3 linked regions of the Rattus norvegicus genome follow. The protein of the gene in region 3 purifies or fractionates together with the protein of the main gene of each other region. This does not show direct contact. Links are inferred from orthologs where the notes say so. Each region holds a gene or a part of one and is shown on either strand. Other genes may lie near its edges.

Region 1 (4,292 bases), on a different chromosome or scaffold from region 3:
GAACATGAAAAATAATTCATATTCTTGATCAAATGAAGCTATAAAATTAAAATGCGTAAAATACAAGTAAAATTCAAGAGGGAAGTGCAACTATCTCACACATTTCACAAGCATTAGTTTGTAGAATGAATGAATGTGTTCATTACATTAAATGAGAAAATAGTGTTTAACCTCTCCAAGCTCCAATCTCTTACATGGACAATGAGGACACGTAAGCACACATTTTGCTGTCCCTCTATCAAGAATAATTCCAAAACAACAGTATTTGGGGGAAGAAACAGGCCTACAAATCTGATGATGTCTTTAAAATTTGTTTCAAATATCATTTTTTTTTGCGCTATTTGTTTTTCACAACCACAGAAATCTTTTCAAAAGCAAATTTTAACTGTCTACATTTTTCTTTTAATTACTTATTATCTATTATGTATGATACATACAATTACTCTATATACCCATTTATACATACATAAGCACATATGAGACACACTGTTTCAAACAGAAGTTTACAGCTCCTAATGTTACCTGCTGGTGTAGAATGACTGTGGAATTGGAAAAAGTTCCTAGAGTAAGAAGGCAAACATCCGAGAAGGTGCTTTCACCCAAGAACCCCCCTTGGTACCCAGCAAATGACAGCAAAATGCCAGAGCTTGGCATGGCCCTTCTTCCTCCCTCCAGCAGGGCTGGTCACGCACTAAGCCTCCCCTTTCTTCGGCCTTCACTTCACACTTCTTAACCTAATAAGCAAGCTGCAGCAGGAGGCTGTCCATCCTGATGCTCCTCCACTCAACCAGAGCATGAACTCAGGGGGTGGGGGTGGGGGCGCTCCACTTTCCCAGACACTTAGGGAAGCTGGAAACTTTTATTCACTCCCTTCTTACGGAAGCCACTAACTGGGAGCCCCCAGCATACACCTGAGTAGCTGGAAGACTTTCTCACCTCTGTAAGATCCGCCGGCGCTCCAGCAGCCCCAAAACAGAGCTTCCCTAAAACGCAAATGTTCCCTGAGCTCCTCCCGGCCGCTGAGTGACCCGCCCCGACCTCACCTGAGGGCGGCTCCGCCAAGAGATGGTTCAGGAAAGCTTCGGAGACGGTGGACCGGAGAAGGACTCTGCAGAAAACACTGTCATAGTCCGCCACGCTCCGGCTCCTGGGCGGCCGCACCTTAGCAGCCGCTCCTCCCGCCTCCCGATCCTTCCCCAGCTCTTCCAGGGCGGCCGCAGCCTCTCGCATTGCACGCCGGGAACGCGCTGCTCTTCCCAAAACTTCTAATCCCAGTATGCACAGCCGCAGCGCCGAACTGCACTCTGGGACGTAGAGTCCTCTTCTCACGGCTTTCCCTCATCCACAGTGAAAAAAGGTCTTGGAGGGGGAAACATAGCCGTAAAGCTTTTCCCCCAGTCGTGAAATGTAGTCTTCCCTGGTATCCGGGGCCTAGTTCCGGCCTTGGCTGGCTGGGCGGGGAGTGGTGTCGCCTAGCAGCCGGCGCCGCTTCGGCTTGTTTGGGAAGAGTTGGCGGGAGCAGCTTGAGTGCGCGAGGACAGCTATTGGAAGCGAGAGGCCCAGGCGGTGGCCGAACCCGGACGTGATCGCTGTAGATGAGTGACTGCTGCTGTTTTGCCCGTCTTGGTTTAGGTGGGTGGATTCTCGTGAGCCGGAGCAGCTTAGTGTCGGTCACAGGTTCATAATCCTGGGGGACAGCGTGCAGCCTACCTACCCAGTCCTTCTATCGCTCTTTTCCGCAGTGCCTCTGCCTCCGTGTTTGAGCTTGGTTCCGCGCACACTTCATTTAGCTCAGTCTTTATTTATCCACTTTAAAAATCCTCTCGTCCCCTGTCCTCAGAATCGGAGGAGGTATTCAAAAACTTCCAAATATCTTGAGAGTTGGTACCATCATTGATGATAAGGGACTTGGAAAAGGGGACTCGGGGTTTTAGCTCCGATTTTGTTTTAGCAAAGAAATAATAATTTAGCATGTGTATGATCGTATAGTCTGTGACAGGTGAACTAATTCTCATCTTGGCTGTTTGCCTATGCATCTGTTTTTCGGTTCAGGAGCCATAGCTCTCAGCCAGCACCTAGGGAGTTAAGTTAGAACGATCATGATCATGTAAACACTGCAAATGCCATCTTCCCTGAAAATGCTGAAATCCATCTGCTTTGTTGTAGGAACTGAGAGGCAGTGAAAGAATTCAAGATGCCACCTAATATAAAATGGAAAGAATTAATCAAAGTTGATCCAGATGAACTGCCACGTCAAGAAGAGTTGGCAGATAAATTATTGATATCCTTATCCAAGGTACTTAATACATGATTTGTACACAGATCCTGAGGTACAATGTCACGAATAGAAATTGCTTCTTCAAGTAATTGAACGCTATAAGCGGAAGAGTGATTGTATTTTATGCACAGGGTATGAAATAGTCCATGTATTTTGTGTGTTTGTTTCCTTAGGTGGAAGTAAATGAACTAAAAAATGAAGATCAAGAAAACATGATACATCTGTTCAGAATTACTCAGTCACTAATGAAGGTTTGTGGGAAAGAGTGTGTAGGAAAAGAAACTTTTTTTAAGAGTAACATAAAGAAATATAACCAGGGGGTCAAATAAAATGCAAAACCTTTCCCCTAAAAGCTAATTGTGAAATGACAGGATTCTAGATTCTTTATAAATAAATACTGAGAAAGAATATGTATTAATTCGTTCCGTTAAGGTAAAAGCACATAGAAAATTTGTAGGGTCTAAACAGATTTTGGGTTGGTAGTTTAGGGTATACTGTCCAAGGATTTGAGGGCATATTTTGGCTCTTAGCACTTTAGAAACGAATAAAGGATTTTTGAATCATAGTTGGCCAATATAGAAATATGCTTATGAAGGAAAATTAAATGTATTGTATAGATGGAAGGGATTAGAGCTGATTAGCTCCAATTATAAGAAGAGATTAATACATTTATTAATAATAACAATTGGGATAGAAAAAGATAATGAAAACATTGAGAATAGTGGATATACTTAACAGAAAAATCAGGTTCAAAGTCTTGCCCCTCTAGAATTTCTAGCCTTAAGTATTTAGTTAACAACTACTTACTGACTGACTCTCTGCGCCCGTCACTGCACACACTAAAGACTGAGATAGCGAATTTCACACCATTTCGATTTCCACTGTTTATATTGCAGCGTAAATAACCCCGGATCCCCCCCTCTTGTTTTAATGTTCAGATGAAAGCTCAAGAAGTGGAGCTGGCCTTGGAAGAAGTTGAAAAGGCTGGGGAAGAACAAGCAAAATTTGGTAAACGTCTAGGACAAAAAAAAAAACCAAACTACTGTGGTTCTATTTATTAGATGGTTGGAAGTTTATCAGATTCTATAAAGTGTGCATTCAATTCATATTGGAAGAGGCTACATCCTTGCCCAGTTCCAGGGACTGACCTGAGTGCTGAGGTAGGGGCTGAAGAAGAGAAAACACAGACACACAGAACAGTTGGATTCGGTCGCACTGGGCTCACTGACGGAGAAGCTGCCACACCCCAGAAGCTCAGTGTCTTTATTCGATCCACTTGAACAGAGTAGTGGAGTTGTTGCAGGGCCGAACATTAAGTCAGGTGACGGCATACAGATAAACAAGGCGACAGGATTGCTGGCAGACAGTTGAACAGGGAGGCAGAGCTCGCTAATCTGAGTAGGAGTAGTCTCTGTAGCGGAGTCAAAGCCATGAGAGGGAGCAAACTCTGGTGGATATTTTCTACAGATTCTGTCAACATCCACACTCAGACTCAGAGGGAAGGCTTTGCCATTTGCCATAGGCCTGAGACTTTGAGTTACTGACATGGCTTTGCCCGTGTCAGCAGGTACACGTTGACTCAGGACCTCACGCACTCAAGTCTTCCTCTGCCCTCTACATCGAGGCATTTCTACAATGCATAGTTTATGCATTTAGTATATGATAATTACTTTCCTTTACATTATCTGATAAGAGGATGGAATCTTTTACAGAGAATTGTACTATTTTATTGAAGTTTACTTAGCATCTGTCTGACTACAGGAAATTTAACCAATTGAAACATTTGTTGTTGTTTTTTTTTAATAGAAAATCAATTAAAGACAAAAGTAATGAAACTGGAAAATGAACTGGAGGTATATCCTTTTGTATTTTCTTGCTTTTGAATTTCCTTGTAATTGTTATTAATTAAAATATTTAAAATTATTTTCAAATTTTCCTACTGCTGGGATGGAAAATACAAGGCTTTGTGCTCAAGAGTTTACTCATTTTACAGAATGTGTTTTTGTGCTTTGAA
Region 2 (4,301 bases), on a different chromosome or scaffold from region 3:
AAGAAATCCATCCTGTGCGCCTAGTCCTAAAGAGATGTGATGTCCCAGGGTGGGTTGGGATCCAAGGGGGTCTTCCCCCTTCTCAGAGAAGGGGAGAATAAGGGAGAGACTTGGAGGTGGGGAATGAAAGGAGGGGCAGGCTGTGATTGGCATGTAAAGTGAATAAATAAATTAATGAGAAAAAACAGCAAAGAAGAGGGGTAAGGGGAGGGCGAGAGAGGGAGGGGGAAGGGGAGAAGGAGAAGGAGGGGGAGGAGGAAGAGGAAAAGGAGGAGGAGGAGAAGGAGAGGAGGAGGAGGAGAAGGAGGAGGAGAAGGAAGAGGAGGAGAGGAGGAGGAAGAGGAGGGGAGGGGAGGAAGAGGAGGAGGAAGAGGAGGAGGAAGAGGAGGAGGAAGAGGAAGAGGAGGAGGAAGAGAAGGAGAGGAGGAGGAAGAGGAGGAGAGGAGGAGGAGGAGGAGGAGGAGGAGGAGGAGATGATCATCCTGGTAGAGTATGTTATCCTGCCTTCGCAATCACCTTTTCTAGTTCTACCTCATTATGAACTCATTCAGTATAGAATTAAAGCTTGAATGGCCTTTGTACCTGGAAATCAAAGTTCCCAGCACTCAATCCCTGCCAGGGATGTGGCCTAAATGAATCACTTGTCTTATAGCTCACAATCTTGGCATCATTCATGCCTCTCACACTGAAACAAGTATCACCTTTAAAACAAAGATTCTGTTTCAGTATCTGATGTGAGCCGGCGGGTGCAGTTTCTAAAAAGCACCCAGGAAGGTCTGCGCAGTCCGCCCGGTAGAGTATGAAGTGCGTAAGTGACATGGTTCTAGACCTAAACACGTTATGGGAATTAAGTGGGGAGAAATTAAGGATACTAGTGATGTCTAGGTTCCTCTCCCAGAGATTCTGACTTAACTCATTGAAGTGCTCCGAAGAATCTAGAGTTAACAGGATTTTACATATGCAAAGGAGAAAACATTTAATGAGCTCTCAAATGATTTGCCACAAATATCAGAATGGGTACATCTAGAAAAAGAAAATACCACCATTATCAACTCCTCTAATCAGTGGTTATCTATGCTAGTGGTTCTCAACTTTCCTAATGCTGCAACCCTTTAATACATTTCCTCATGCTGCAGTGGGTCCCAACCATTAAACTATTTCATTTCTATTTTATAACTGTAATTTTGCTGCTGTTATCAATTGTAATGTAAATATCTGATATATGGGATATCTGATATGTGACCCCTATGAAGGGATCATTTGACCGCGAAAGACCCACAGGTTGAGAACCACCAGTCTACGAGCTTGCGGGTTCGGTCCTTGCCTTTTCCACGCCCACTGTCTGGCCCGGTCCCACCCATCAAGGCAACGTTCGACCTCCTCCAAGTCCATTGGTCAATCTGTTCCCTTCCATTGTCTCCGTTTCCGGCTCCACAAGATCAACTTCCGGTACAGAGCGGCACGTGACCGGATACGGGAAGTGGCGGCTTCTGGCCGCTTCTTTTCCCAGCTCAATGAAAAGCGTTTCATAGCTGCTCTTGCTGCCGGCGCCCTTGTAGAGTCCGTCTTGGAGCACCAACCTCGGCCGGCCGGCCTCGCGGTAAGCTTCCGGCCGGGGACCGGCGGTCCTGGAGGTGGTAGCCTAAGTGGAGGCAGTGTTCAATCTGCGTCAGGTCGGCCACTCCCAAGTGACACGGCCCACCCACCCTGCTGCCCTCCAGGGCTGCAGAACCGCTGCTGCAGAGCCCGGACTGAGTCCTTACTTCTTCCTGTCCTGGGCTCTGGGAGAAGACGGAGCCCGGAGGCAGCCTAGGGTCAGTCCTCAGTTCCGCCCATCCGGGACAGATTTCATTTTTGCCAAATTAGCGTGGTTTGGGAGAGGAGAACGTGACCTGGCTTCTGCCGGTCCAAATCAACAAATATGTCCTTATAAATCTTAAAAGGGCGTTGCCCAGCCTCTGAGCAGTTTTCGTTTTTTGGATGACAAGTCTTGAGATGTCACTGCAGTAGATGGGCCCAACCCACTAAGGCACTTGCACTGACACACAGTGTAATGATGGCCCTATCAAGGTGCAGGAAGTAAGATACGCGATGAACAGAGGTTAGCTGCCTCTGTAACGGGCAGCCTTGAGGTTTTAGAAGGCGAAGAACTAAAGAGAACCCAGAATATGGGCGTGGGTTTTAGACTTGGTAAATAGTTGTGAAGGCCACTATTAATAATACTGGCATAATATAAAGTTCTGTATAAACATTGGAGAATTCATCACTAACCCCAAAGAAGACTGACTGTTACAATTCTACATCATCCCATTCATGTCTTTCAGATTCTCCACTATACCCCCAGAGTGCTACCTGGCACTTAGTGAATAGTAATATTTGTTGAATTACGTCTAATTTCTTTTATGAGTTATAACCAGTCCTCTGCTGTTTGGCTGTTTACCATGCACGGAGTCTTTAGTATGGTGAATATTGGCCTGAGTTAATTGTTCTGTTTACCAGTTTTTACTGTTTCAATAAAACAGGTTACACCAAGAGGTTGTAGTAAGTACCCAACACACAAACCTGTGTTAGAGCACCCTCCCTCCTCCTCTTCCTCCTCCTCCTCCTCCTCCTCCTCCTCTTCCTCCTCTTCCTCCTCTTCCTCCTCCTCTTCCTCTTCTTCCTCTTCCTCCTCCTCCTCCTCTTCTTCCTCCTCCTCTTCTTCCTCCTCCTCCTCCCAAGAGATGACTGTGGAGACCTAGGAGATGATACTCATGTCCCCATTAGATAGCAAGCACTTGTCTCGTAAATACAGTAAGTGCTCTAGACATTTGCATGGGAAGAGCAATGAGGATTAAGACTTTTACTGAGTCAGCTTCATCCAAATGGAGAAATGTACGTTTGAATAGGGAAAAGATAATCTGGCCTGCATGGGAAAGTGCTTAACCAAAGATTTCAAGTCAGAAACAACACAGTGCTTTGAATGCAAGGCATGGCTTGAGAACAGTGGTATAATGAGGACTGGTTTAAAGTTATTTACTAGTTTTTCAGGGAACTTGTAGAAACTTTAAAAAAAGAAAAAGGTAACAGGTGCTATTACTTAAAGGCAGTAAATCTTGGTTGCTTGGTAGCCAGATGGGGGAAAAGTAAATTATATGTAGATGGAGAAGTCACTGCGTACGCTAACAGATTTCACGTTGGCATGGAGGAAGCAATGAACTAGGGCAGAGTTTGAGTCTGGGTTGTTTTCTTATAGATTCAAAAGTTGGAAAGAGGTAACTTGGAGGGAACTATCCCTGGTCTGTTGTTGAGTGCAACAGTATTTCCCTAAATGTTTACTAAGCACTCGCTGTGTGCCTCGTGGCAAATGCTAGGAATATAAAGATGGATAAGATGAGATCCTTGCCGAGAGAGAACTGCTTTTAGTAGGGTCTAGAGTGCACTAGCTAGAAAACACTGGTTGGAGAGCTGCTGCCAGTAGAGGTAAGCTGGGGAACAGAAGAGGAGGAAGGCTTCAAAGAAGATGCAGTGTGTTATCAGAATGGTTGAGGGTGAGTTGGAATTTGCAGTGACAAGAATTTCAGAATGAGGAAAATAGTGAACAAAGCCCAGAGACAGTACAGTAAACTGCAGTGTCCACTTGAGTTTGAGGATAGGATAGAGTATCGCTTTAATGTCACACCTGGGCCCTAGGGCACATTAAGGGGTGTGCCACAAGCTAGAGTCATCTGAAAGAAGGAAACCGCCATTGAGAAAATGCCCCCGTAAGATCCAGCTGAAGGGCATTTTTTAAATCCGTGGTTGACGGGGGCTGGATCATAACAGCAGTTGCATGCCTGACTTGCAGAAGGGACTGCAGGACTGTTCTAAAGCCTCCCTGCCATTTGTGATCCTCCCAGCTGGGTGGGGGAGGCCCCTTCCTCATTGCTTACTGCTGTGTGTCCTGTGGGTTTTTAGCCTTCCCAGCAGTTGAAAGTAGGATTCTTGCCGCAGATGTCAGTCGTATTTCCCAAGTGGTTGATGGTATGAAACCTTTTGGGTTTCTGGTGTGCATCTTTGCAATAGGCAAAGGGCGGCTGCACATGTTTTTCCTTAGCACCATCCACGCCCCCTTTTCTTGTGCGTGGTCTCTCACCAGATTGGCGCTCCAACCATAGGTGAAGTTGTCTGCTCAGTGCACTCCAGGGATCTGCTTGTCTCTGCCTCCCCAGCATGAGGTTGCAGGCAGGCTTCCCCATGCACTGCTTGTTAAATGAGTTCTGGAAACTAACAAGATTGGACTTGTGTCCTCCAATTACTAGGAAACACTTTTCCAACAGAGC
Region 3 (3,647 bases):
TGTACCCCATTTTATAACAGAGTTATTTGATTCTCTGGAGTCTAACTTCTTGAGTTCTTTGTATATATTGGATATTAGCCCTTTATCTGATGTAGGATTGGTAAAGATCTTTTCCCAATCTGTTGGTTGACAGTATTCTTTGCCTTACAGAAGCTTTGCAATTTTATGAAGTCCCACTTGTCGATTCTTGATCTTAGAACATAAGCCATTGGTGTTTTGTTCAGGAAAACTTCCCTAGTACCCATGTGTTCAAGGCTCTTTCCCACTTTTTCTTCTAATAGTTTGAGTGTATCTGGTTTTATGTGGAGGTCCTTGATCCACTTGAACTTGAACTATGTACAGGGTGATAAGAATGGATTGATTTGCATTCTAATACATGCTGACCTCCAGTTGAATCAGCACCATTTGTTGATAATGCTATCTTTTTTCCACTGTATGGTTTTTAGCTCCTTTTTTTAAAGATCAAGTGACCATAGGTGTGTGGGTTCATTTCTGGGTCTTCAGTTCTTTTCCATTGATCCACCTGCCTGTCTTTGTACCAATACTATATAGTTTTTACCACTATTGCTGTGTAATACAGCTTGAGGTCAGGAATAGTAATCTCCCCCACCCCCAGTTCCTTTATTGTTGAGGGTAGTTTTAGCTATCCTAGGTTTTTTGTTATTCTAAATGAATTTGCAAATTGCTCTTTCGAACTCTATGAAGAATTGAGTATGAATTTTGATGGGGATTGCATTGAATCTGTAGATAACTTTTGGCAAAATGACCACTTTTACAATATTAATCCTGCCAATCCATGAGCATGGGAGGTCTTTTCATCTTCTGAGATCTTCAATTCCATTCTTCAGAGACTTGAAGTTATTGTCACACCGAGGTATTTTATATTATTTTTAACTATTGTGAAGGGTGTTGTTTCCCTAATTTCTGTCTCAACCTGTTTATCCTTTGAATAGGGGAAGGCTACTGATTTGTTTGAATTAATTTTATATTGCTACCACTTTTCTGAAGTTGTTTATCAGGTTTAGGAGTTCTCTGGTGGAATTTTTTGGGGTCACTTAAGTATACTATCATATTATCTACAAACAGTGGTATTTTGACTTCTTCCTTTCCAATTTGTATCCCTTTGATCTCCTTTTGTTGTCTGATTGCTCTGGCTAGGATTTCAAGTACTATATTGAGTAGGTAGGGAGAAAGTGGGCAGCCTTGTCTAATCCCCGATTTTAGTGGGATTGCTTCAAGTTTCTCTCCATTTAGTTTGATGTTGGCTACTGGTTGGCTGCATATTGCTTTTACTATGTTTAGGTATGGGCCTTGAATTCCTGATCTTTCTAAGACTTTTACCATGAAGGGGTGTTGAATTTTGTCAAATGCTTTCTCAGCATCTAGTGAGATGATCATGTGGGTTTTTTTTCTTTGAGTTTGTTTATGTAGTTGATTATGTTGATGGACTTCCATATAGTGAACCATCCCTGCATCCCTGGGATGAAGCCTGCCTGATCATGATGGACGATCATTTTGATTTGTTCTTGGATTTGGCTTCTTGATTGTAAACCAAGTGTCTTTCATGTTATTTTATTCTCTTTCCTTCTCTCTCTTCACTTTGTCTTCCCTCCTTCCCTCTCTGTCTCCCTCCCTCCCTCTCTCCCTTCCCTTGACCTCTTTCTTTCTGATGTTTGGTTTTTGTTCTTTTTAGACTGGGTCTTACTGTGTAAACTTGACTGATCTGGAACTGACTTTGTAAACCAAGTCAGTTGGCCTTGAACTCACAGAGATCTTTCTGTATTTGCTTTCTAGGGTGTGGGATTAAAGGCATACACCATCACCTGGGCACATCTTTCATTTCTTACAGAGCCAGCATATTTGTTTTTAGGATATGTGAACCTGGAACTAAAATGCAAGCAAGGTCCATTTCACAGTCTAGTTCCCTAGAAAGCTGAAATTTACTTAATTGGCTTGTCAACAAAAGAATGACACTGATGAGACTCATTAAGGTACCATGCCTATGGAAGTTTGAATATTCAAATGATATTTATTTATTAACGCAAAATTGTTCTCTTATGTCAGCCATTGCTGTGTGGGATTAGAGCCAGGAGAAGATGGAGAAGAATTTTACAAGGAATTACTTCCATCAGCTGCCGAAAATTTTCTTGTCCTGGGAAGACGATTGCAAACATGTTTTATCAATGCAACTAAGGTATGTATTTAGTGTTGTATGGCCAAATAATTTTCATTCTTTTTTTTCTCCTGAAACAAAGTTCCACTGTTTAGCCCAGGCTAGCTTCATATTCAATTTATAGCTTTGCAGGTCTCGAGAGTCTCAGCCCTTTTGCCTCAGCCTCCTCAGCACTGGGATTACAAGAATGTGCACCATATTTATCCCTCCCTAAGTTGTCCCCTGTCATTTTTCAAATATGCTATATGTGGCTGAACACACAAGTAGAGTAGTAAATTTAAACATCTTTACCCAAAAATTACAACCAAGAACTTAGTCTTTACATTATAAAATGTAAATGTTAGCTAAAGAATACTGTATGATTTTGAAGAGTTTGTATTACCACTTAATTTGAGGCAACATACATATATACTTATATCCATGGCATCACTTCTCTCCAGACCAAATTTCTGACACTTGGGGATAGTTAGACCGTAGCTTTTATTTTTTAATTGACATATAAAGTTGTACTTACTTTAAGGGAACTATATAATATTTTTGATACTTTTATGTTTTATGTAATGTTTATATACAGAGAAAGAGAGAGGATGGGAGGGGAGGAAGGAAGAGGAGAGCATGGTGAAAAATAATTCAAAAATGTTCTGCATTTAGTCTAGTTTCTCTAAAGAAGTGCCACATCAGTACATCAGACTTTGAAATGGAATCTGTGACCACACCTAGAACAGCAGCAGATGCCATATTATTTTTTGAATTTGTAATAGGATCTTTTCAGAAGCAAATTTTTGAAGACCTTGTGTTCTGCCACTCTTAAATGTCCAAACCTGTTAGAGCTATTTTGTATACATATTTGATAGTTTAGAACATGTAGCTTGTACTGTTTGCTGTCTAAGTAAAAAATCGGCCAAATGAGAAGTCATTAGGAGTTTATTGGTTGGTATTGGCAGCTTCTGCTTCCATTCTTGTGGATAACTAGATCAATTATATAACTAGCTTATCAATTTCCCATTTATGGTGCCCATTCTTCCCCTAACAGCTTGACTTGACCTTAAGTGATTGTCTTCAAGATTATCTAACTGTTCTCACAGTCAGGCCTTGAGTGCATTTTTGCTCAGTCCTCAGTCCTAACTTTGAGAGTAGGAATAGGACCAGAAGTTGAGAATTTCTTCATCTTTAATTCTTTTTCAGTCAGTTACATTAAGCTAGAATGGTACAGCAGAGAACTCAGATTTCAACTTGAATTTCAAAGACTTCTCATCTTTGCAGGTGTTGGGAATCAAATCCAGGTCTTCTGAAAGAGCAGCCAGTGATCTTAACCACTAAGCCATCTCTCCACCTCCTTGATTTCACTCTTAAGATTTTTTTATTATATGTGATAGTTCAGTATTACATTGTTGGACTTATATTTATTTAAAAGAAGAGAGATTATTATCAAAACATGTTTATTGCATCACTATTTACAATAGTCAAAAATAGT

The links.
Region 1: the proteins of Iqcb1 (region 3) and Cep290 purify together in Homo sapiens (co-immunoprecipitation; 8 studies listed by BioGRID and IntAct, counting the BioPlex papers as one, with this or other methods). This does not show direct contact. The link is inferred for Rattus norvegicus from reciprocal best matches to the Homo sapiens genes IQCB1 and CEP290.
Region 2: the proteins of Iqcb1 (region 3) and Exoc1 purify together in Homo sapiens (affinity purification with mass spectrometry; 3 studies listed by BioGRID and IntAct, counting the BioPlex papers as one, with this or other methods). This does not show direct contact. The link is inferred for Rattus norvegicus from reciprocal best matches to the Homo sapiens genes IQCB1 and EXOC1.

What each region holds. Positions count from the first base shown.
Region 1 is NC_086025.1:37,195,323-37,199,614, forward strand, and holds the start of Cep290 (centrosomal protein of 290 kDa), read left to right. Parts: upstream 1-1,460; 5' UTR 1,461-1,632; intron 1,633-2,166; 5' UTR 2,167-2,194; coding exon 2,195-2,296; intron 2,297-2,451; coding exon 2,452-2,529; intron 2,530-3,216; coding exon 3,217-3,286; intron 3,287-4,084; coding exon 4,085-4,131; intron 4,132-4,292. UniProt on the Homo sapiens protein: Involved in early and late steps in cilia formation. Its association with CCP110 is required for inhibition of primary cilia formation by CCP110.
Region 2 is NC_086032.1:32,011,296-32,015,596, reverse strand, and holds the start of Exoc1 (exocyst complex component 1), read left to right. Parts: upstream 1-1,469; 5' UTR 1,470-1,600; exon of another isoform or gene 1,601-1,814; intron 1,815-4,301.
Region 3 is NC_086029.1:77,455,375-77,459,021, reverse strand, and holds part of Iqcb1 (IQ calmodulin-binding motif-containing protein 1), read left to right. Parts: intron 1-2,064; coding exon 2,065-2,194; intron 2,195-3,647. UniProt on the Homo sapiens protein: Involved in ciliogenesis. The function in an early step in cilia formation depends on its association with CEP290/NPHP6.